2 linked regions of the Arabidopsis thaliana genome follow. The main gene of each other region encodes a partner of the protein of the gene in region 2 in a complex. Each region holds a gene or a part of one and is shown on either strand. Other genes may lie near its edges.

What was found. Proteins that work in one complex are often made in the same cells at the same time.
Region 1: the proteins of UBC8 (region 2) and ATGP4 are in contact, whole or in part, in a crystal structure (PDB 4X57), measured with the Arabidopsis thaliana proteins. Residues at the interface, in NP_001190447.1 of Arabidopsis thaliana: Leu7, Leu10, Lys11, Gln14, Lys15, Asp16, Pro17, Pro18, Thr19, Cys21, Ser22, Ala23, Gly24, Pro25, Val26, Ala27, Glu28, Met30, Gln34, Ala35, Thr36, Met38, Gly47, Val49, Leu51, Ala146, Met147; in NP_001329044.1 of Arabidopsis thaliana: Arg12, Leu13, Tyr14, Gly16, Ile58, Ser59, Ser60, Gly61, Lys62, Ile63, Thr75, Pro76, Phe77, Gly78, Asp79, Ile80, Ala81, Val86, His88, Val90, Gln92.

The regions. Positions count from the first base shown.
Region 1 is NC_003075.7:12,849,035-12,853,467, reverse strand, and holds ATGP4 (Ubiquitin family protein), read left to right. Parts: upstream 1-1,657; 5' UTR 1,658-2,022; exon of another isoform or gene 2,023-2,118; 5' UTR 2,119-2,218; coding exon 2,219-2,348; intron 2,349-2,600; coding exon 2,601-2,771; intron 2,772-3,439; coding exon 3,440-3,495; 3' UTR 3,496-3,817; downstream 3,818-4,433. Other genes in the region: AMY1 (alpha-amylase-like protein), read left to right, coding at 15-445, 670-1,035, 1,108-1,359. UniProt on the Arabidopsis thaliana protein: May serve as docking site to facilitate the association of other proteins to the plasma membrane.
Region 2 is NC_003076.8:16,674,044-16,678,069, forward strand, and holds UBC8 (ubiquitin conjugating enzyme 8), read left to right. Parts: upstream 1-1,798; 5' UTR 1,799-1,847; exon of another isoform or gene 1,848-2,010; 5' UTR 2,011-2,028; coding exon 2,029-2,092; coding exon of another isoform or gene 2,093-2,098; intron 2,099-2,439; coding exon 2,440-2,576; intron 2,577-2,738; coding exon 2,739-2,843; coding exon of another isoform or gene 2,844-2,978; exon of another isoform or gene 2,979-3,036; coding exon 3,037-3,180; 3' UTR 3,181-3,466; downstream 3,467-4,026. Other genes in the region: AT5G41690 (RNA-binding (RRM/RBD/RNP motifs) family protein), read right to left, coding at 1-32, 125-146. UniProt on the Arabidopsis thaliana protein: Accepts the ubiquitin from the E1 complex and catalyzes its covalent attachment to other proteins. Mediates the selective degradation of short-lived and abnormal proteins.

The sequences.
Region 1 (4,433 bases), on a different chromosome or scaffold from region 2:
TCTTCATTCCTCAGGTTACTTACCGGGAAAGCTATACGATCTAAACAGCTCCAAATACGGTTCAGAGGCGGAACTGAAATCGTTAATCAAAGCGTTGAATCAAAAAGGAATAAAAGCTTTGGCTGATATAGTGATTAACCACAGAACAGCTGAGAGGAAAGACGATAAATGTGGATACTGTTATTTCGAAGGTGGGACTTCCGATGATCGTCTTGATTGGGATCCTTCCTTTGTCTGCCGCAATGACCCTAAATTTCCCGGTACCGGAAACCTCGACACCGGAGGAGATTTTGATGGAGCGCCCGACATCGACCACCTTAACCCTAGAGTTCAGAAAGAGTTGTCCGAATGGATGAATTGGCTTAAAACTGAAATCGGATTCCATGGTTGGAGATTTGATTATGTTCGAGGTTATGCATCTTCCATCACCAAATTATACGTTCAGGTAAATCACATATGAATTCTCAAATATCAGACAACAGTATTAGTATATAAGAAACATAGGTTGAGATAATTATTTACTATTAGTATATATAAGTATCATAGGTTGATAGGGTTATTTACTACTATTTAGTATATAAGAAACATAAGTCAATGCAATCAATAAGAAATATATAAGAAAGTTCACTACTGATTATGTGATAAATTCCTCTGTTTTTGGATACACAGAATACATCACCGGATTTTGCGGTGGGTGAGAAATGGGACGATATGAAGTACGGAGGAGACGGGAAACTAGACTATGATCAGAACGAGCATCGGTCGGGTCTCAAACAGTGGATCGAGGAAGCGGGTGGTGGTGTGTTGACAGCTTTTGATTTCACCACCAAAGGGATCTTACAGTCTGCTGTCAAAGGTGAGCTTTGGAGACTAAAGGACTCGCAGGGAAAACCGCCTGGTATGATAGGAATCATGCCCGGAAACGCTGTCACATTCATAGATAACCATGATACATTCAGAACGTGGGTTTTCCCTTCTGATAAAGTCTTGCTTGGATACGTTTATATACTTACTCATCCAGGAACTCCTTGCATTGTAAGTATCATTTTAGTATGTAGCTATACTATTTACAACTACAATCTTGTTGATATGTTATTTTTGTTGCAGTTTTATAATCATTACATAGAATGGGGACTAAAAGAGAGCATCTCAAAGCTGGTGGCTATCAGGAACAAAAATGGGATTGGTAGCACAAGCTCTGTAACGATAAAAGCGGCAGAGGCGGATCTCTACTTGGCTATGATTGATGATAAAGTTATCATGAAGATTGGACCAAAGCAAGATGTGGGAACACTTGTTCCTTCTAATTTTGCTTTAGCTTATTCAGGCCTTGACTTTGCTGTCTGGGAGAAGAAGTAACGCATAACTCGAATCATAAGAAAAGTAATCGAATGTATCTTCTTCCTTTTTAATAAAACATTTTGGCAGTATCTAAAGATATGTATAATGAAATATAAAATGATAAAGAATACCTAAATAAAAAGAGCACTAGTGGTGTTAAAGGATACAACTCCAGTGAAAGAAAAGAGTTCAAGTGAAGAAGTGTCAACTTGTAGAAATAAGTATTGGAAAGTTTCCATCGTTTTGTTTTGTTGCATACAACTAATATATTATATATTGGCCGACTCGTATAAGATTTGGAGCCCTACTAAAATCAGAATTATGATGTCTTAACCACACAATACTGCCAAAATCAGAACGAATTATATTATTGTAGAAGAAGAAAAAAAAAGTATGGTGGGAAGTGGGAACAGTTAGACAGGTAAATTCGAATAAAACGACAGCGTTTTTGGCTAGGACAATAAAAGTTGAAGACGTCGGCTTGAGAAGAAGTAGAAGTGACGACGAAAAGAAAGGGGAAAAAAAAAAGGAAGGAAAAAAGTGAAAACCGTCGGCTTGAGAAGGAACTTTGATATTTGGTGACTCTTGAAAAAAGCAAGCTCTTTCTTCTTCCTTCTTTCGCTTTTTTCACACCTCAAAATCAAAGATCCGAAACACGATTTCGGAGGAAGCTTCGATTCTGTGTGTTTGATTCTTCCTCTTTTTTGTTTTTTGTTTTTTTGTTCTATCCCGTTTCGAAGCGAGCTCTGATTCTCGTTCCTGTCTACTTTTTTTCAGACCTATTTTCAGATCTGAAATAGTTGTGTTTGAGAAGCGGGATTGGTGATCGGAGCTGGAATTTGGTTGGTAATCGGAGGTCAGAGAGAAGTCAACGGATATGCCGGAGGAAGAATCGATAGATATCAAATTCAGGTTGTACGATGGCTCCGATATCGGGCCTTTTCGGTATTCTGCGGCTTCTACTGTTGACTTTTTGAAGCAGAGGGTCGTCTCTGATTGGCCCAAAGGTTAGTTTTAAGGTTTTTTGAATCGGTGCCCCTTTTTCCCCAATCTGATCCTGGTTTTATTCATGATCTTCCCACGAATTTCGTGTTGATTGTCACTGAATCCTGCAATTGTCGGTAGAAATTCGAAATTTAGAGCTGTAGATGAATTATTATTAGCTCATTTGAGATGTTATAAGCTTGATGTATGAGAAAAGCCAAGTCTCTGTGATTTGAGGTTGATCCAAGCATCAATTTTTTTGTGGTTTTGGTTAGGCAAAACAGTTGTTCCAAAGGGGATAAACGAAGTGAAGCTGATAAGCTCGGGTAAGATCTTGGAGAACAACAAGACTGTTGGGCAGTGTAAGACACCATTTGGAGATATTGCTGGTGGAGTCATTGTGATGCATGTTGTTGTACAGCCTTCTCTAGCTAAATCCAAAACAGGTAGTTGTTTGTCTATGTGTAATGTTCTTCATGTCTTTTATATCAGAGAATTCCCGTTTCATGGAGATATATGTGTCCTTAGAGGTTCCTCAATCTTTCATTAGTCTTGTGGTATTTATCTTGTCAACTGTATGGATTATGGTATTCATTTATCTGGCTCAACTTTACGTCTTATAATATCTAGCTCTAGTCATACTTATATTAATTGAGGCTGGTAAGATTTCGTAAGAGTGTTCATGCACATCAGAAAGTTAGTCGGTGACTAAGATCAGTACATTCTTTTTCTTTCTAACAGCCTATGGTACTGACTCAATCAACCTATCAGGTGATTAGTGGTTTTGTCTAAATTTGGTTTGTTTGTCTTGAGAGAGAGTAAAGGATACCCTAGAATTCATTCCTAGGTTTCTGGTGTGTTCTTTGTGTGAAATAAAGCAAAAATCAGCTCTAAGCTTAGCAAAGCATGCCATGAGGAAAGGAATACCTGAATTCATTATTGGTCGTCATCTCCTTGTAAACCCCACTGAAAACTTTTGCCAGTCTTTGAGATTTGTCTGCATAATTTGTTTTTTCACAAACTTGAGAAAGTCGTGGAAAGTGAGTTTGTGATTACTAAGACGTTTGTTGATGAAAGCTAACTAACAGTTGAATACTGGTTTTTGATTAAACAGAGAAGAAGGTTGATAAAGCACCAAAGGCAGTAATCTGCACATGCACCATTTTGTGAAGGGAGGAAGACCAATGTATCTATCATACACATCGTTTCAATTCTTCCGGTACAGAAGAAAACAAAATCAAAAAAAGAAAGCTAAAAGTAAAGTAAAGCTTCCCTTTAAGCTGTGGAGTTATTTATCATCTTTGAATGTGTAGAAAATGAACTATAAATTCTTTTCAAGTAACTCTTTGTCCCTTATTTGTTTTTTCTTCTTACTTTCCCAATGTATGGAAGCTGTATAGGTTACTAGGTCCATTACGTTACGTGTGATGAAGATAATTATATATCTATCTATTTTTAAAAAAGATTGTGCCTTTGTATTTTTCGTTCTTCCTTTCACACCGTTTTAGTATAGGTGAATTTGCGAAATGGCCAAATTCTGGCTGGCCCGTAAATGTAATTAATGAATTCATGAACTCTGAACATCACTTCGAACAGAAAATTCATCTCTTTTTGTTTTAGGTTGGGAAAAGGTAAGAGGATGGAGTTGCGGTTCCGATCAGACAGACAGGAAGAGTAGTGATGGATGAAGGCGACGTAGTCTCGAACAGAGGCATGATGTAATAACACATGATATATGACACAAGTCATAACCTAGCTACTTATAAATACCAACATAAACTAAAAAAAGTCATAACAATGGTATGTACTTATCTACATTAAAAAAAAAAAGAATTGCAGAAAGATGGCAATATGAAACTAAATTGAATCAAACACATGTACTACAAACAATAGTTAAAAATATCAAAACACAAGTAAAACAACCTAGTTTTAACATTTAAAACGAGGAGAAAAAAAACCAAAAAAGGGAGCCAAGCTTTATGCGTGGCGCTAAAAAGATTGGGCTGTTGATGGATAAATTATGATAGGGCCCAATGGAAAAAGAGAGCTGTCGGTAAACCCTAGACACGAAAGCCGGTGACGAATCGTCCGGTCAATCTGAGTAGTAT
Region 2 (4,026 bases):
GGCCTCCAAACCATATTGCGGGTTACGCTTACCTAAAGGAAGAGTAGCAAAAACTTCTTAGAACCAAGTAAGTTGGTATAAAACAACATTAGATAAGAGATCATAAACCACCAAAAAAACAAACCCTGGGAGTTAGATTTGACCATCACGGAGAAGATGAAAGCAGGAGGTTTAAAGGGGTTTATGTCTTCTTTCCGGGAAGAGTCCGTTGAGCGCAAGCAATACGTTGTAAAGTAAATAACCCTAAGCTACGTTTTATTTATAGAAAACAATCAAAGGAAATGTTTTGGTTTGGGCTGGGCTGGGCTTTCATTGTACCTGCTTAAGAGGCCCAAGGCCCAACATGCTTCTTCTTTTTCGTCTACCTCCAAATCAGCCCAGTGTGTTTGTTCTGGAATTCATAATTCATAGTTTCCGATTAAAAAGCAAGAGACCAGGTACAATCTCAACCTGTGGATTGCATGATAAAGATGATTTTAATCGGAAACCGTAACGATTCAAAATTGAAACAAAAGTATTCATTGAGGATATCAAAATTCGATAACCTAACGCATGTGTCTCGAATTAGAGAAATCAAATAGTGTTTTCTGGGCAAAATCAAAACCAATCGACACAAATCGATCTTTTGCGAAAAAAATACTAAAAAGAAAGGCAAACCCGTGTAAACTTCATCTTAATCTCATGAGTAAGAGTTTCCAGATAAGCATATCTCCGTGATGAAACTTTCTCCATTCCATTACCACCACTGATTGAAGATGCGATCACCGGAAAACAACCCAAAAAGCAAACACCGTCTCCATCTATCGGTAAGGAGAATTCGAGAGATTGATCACAGAGTAAGACGAGAGACTCTTTCGATTAATGCTCTCATTGTTCTCATCTGAGAATTCCCATGGCCACGGCAAATTGTGGTAGCGGCGGAGGAGAAACGGTGAGAGCTTGTTGCGCATCTCAAAAAGAATGAATACATAAACCGAACTATACCGACCCAAATTGAAATATAGAAACTGATATAAACCGAACTATACCGAGCCAAATTGGAATTTTTGAAATTGGAATAAAACTGAACCGAGCCAAATAGTCTCGCACTCTCACCAAACCCAGTTATCTTATTAAATTTTCACCAAATCCAGTTTATCTTAATGCATATCCTATCTTTTCATTAGTCCATAACTAATTCGTTGATTATTGTTCATTAGATATTTGCAGTAATACAAATCCCACTATGACAACATGATGACTCGCATAATATGACATTCAACTATTGTGAGATTACAAAATTTAAAGATATTTTACTTCTTTTTTTTCCAAAATAAAATTTACATTCTATTGATAAAATGTAATTAGTATGGATAAATTAGAATCATAAAACATTAGTTTGAGATAGAGATTTAAAATAATCATGTCACAAAAACTAGATAAAATTTCATTAATTATGATTGGTTATCTGGTTTCATTTTTTATTTTTTACAAAAATATAATCAGCCGTTCATATCTCTACACTTGGCTATAGAAATAGAGAAATATCAAATATGTACCAAAGAGGACAATTTTACAATTGAAAATTCATCGTGATTCAGAATCATTTGGAATCTAAGTGGGGTCAAATCAAATATAGCCCACCCTTTATAATTTCTTAAAAAAATTAGATAGTATTTTAAAATTATAATGTTTACAGATATTTCTTAAGCAGCCATTATTACTAAAATAAATCATAGTTTATCCAATTAAATTATTCGCTTCCGTTTCTTAAAGCATAAAAACCAAAACTTTCTCTTTCGTTTTGCTTTCTTCCAATCATCTGCAGGAGTGAATCGCAAAACCAAATTTGGAGGATTCTTTCTGAGGTATCAAAGCTTTCTCCTTTTGATTAACCCACACGAGAAAAAGCTCTCTTCTTTTGTAGGAATTCAAAAAGCTCGTCTCTTCTTGTTCGATTCAATCAGATTAGAAAAAGTTTCTGGATTTGAGCTGGATTGATCTAGGTTTAACTTGGATTACTTTTTGTAGGGGTTTCTCAGTGAGAAAATGGCTTCGAAACGGATCTTGAAGGAGCTGAAGGATCTCCAGAAAGACCCTCCAACCTCCTGCAGTGCAGGTTCACTTCAAAAATCTCAAATCTTTCTCCTTCTTGTTGGATCCATTACTTTATCTATGATTATCTGGTAATATGCCAGAGATTTAGCATTCTAGAGATCACAAAGGTGAAAGTTACTTTTCAGACTGATCAGAGTTGAGAAATGTAGAATCCTTCTTTGCGTTGTGGTGTTGTCTACTTATGTTTTGGCTTATGTTTATCTTAAGATTTTATGATGAATTTCAGTTTATTAGTTTCTACTTTTCTCTAATTATTAGACTAATCAGAGTTAGAAGAGTTGAGAAATGTAGAATACTAGAATCCTTCTTTGGTTTGTGGTGTTTTTTTTGCTTATGTTTTAGTTTTTGCAGGTCCAGTTGCTGAAGACATGTTTCATTGGCAAGCTACAATTATGGGTCCTGCAGAGAGTCCGTATTCAGGCGGTGTGTTTCTCGTTACCATTCACTTCCCTCCGGACTATCCATTCAAACCACCAAAGGTATTCAATATTGGAACAACTCTTAGATTACCACGAACTTTAGGTTTAGTAGAGTTCCTTGAAATTCTTGGACCTAATTAAAACTTGTATTTGCCCCCAAATCAAATCAATTTCTTGGCTTAATCTTGACACTTTTATTGGTTGTTTTGTTTTTATTTGCAGGTTGCATTTAGGACGAAGGTGTTTCACCCTAATATCAACAGCAACGGAAGCATTTGCCTTGACATTTTGAAAGAACAATGGAGCCCTGCCCTCACCATTTCCAAGGTGACTCTCATTTTTCAGAAACATCGGTTCTCCAATGTTCGTTTATGTTCCAAAAGTATAGCAAGAGCATCTACATTTTCAGCTAGGATTTTGCTCAATGCACAAGCTTTGCTTCTTGAATGTTTGTGTATGTAGTAAGATCATCATCTCTAGTTTTTAGCTGTTTTAATGGAAATGTTTATGCAATTGGTAGGTGTTGCTCTCGATATGTTCGCTGTTAACAGATCCAAATCCAGATGACCCTTTGGTACCAGAGATTGCACACATGTACAAAACCGACAGAGCCAAATACGAGGCTACTGCAAGAAACTGGACTCAGAAGTATGCCATGGGCTAAACAAAGATTCGTATGCTTCAGCACCTGTTTATGTTTTCATGTCTGTTTCTTTCTTCTTCTTGTTTTAACTTTAATAAAAATGTCTAAAATATCAACTTTTTCGTCTGTACTATATATGTTTATGGGTTTTATTATCATCATCTTTATCTGAAATTTGAAGATGGAATTCTAAAGCTTGAAGGTTATTTGTTAAAGTTTATTTACTAGTGAGTGATGAGAAACATTGTGTTGTTGTTCATTTCATTTTTTCTTTGTCAGGAATATTCATTGACTTGTTTTCTTTCCCAATATTTTATTTTACCACAAATATGTAGCTTATAATCACTATCTCGTAGACACACCGTCGTTAACTACGAGAAAAAAAAGAACAGACCATTTTACCAAACTGTTGTCTTTTGCCGACGAAGTCACCGAAGCCGGCGGCGGAAGAAAAGGTAAAATTACAAAAACTCTCTTCTGCAAAGTGACCATTTTTCACAGTGCTAAGTACAAATTTGTAGTCTTTAACCTCACTCACAGTTCATATATGTCGCATTTTGCATCAACAACAAAAAAAAACCTAATCTTTAGGGTTTATTTCTATTTGAAGGTTTTGTGGTGTTCATGGATACAAGAAAGATTCCGTTGTTCTGCTATTGGAATGGTTGTATTAAAGATGGTCCTGATGGTCCGTTCTATGAAGGGTCAAGTCCAAGAGGGATCAGAGTTGATAGCAAAATCGAACTATCCAATTTGTTGGATGATCTGCATCGACTTACTGGTTTTGAAAAGGGAAAGTTTCAGATTGATTTGATTGGTAGGTACCCTTCCATTGTTCAACAACAGATGGTCAAGTATGTGCGTTTG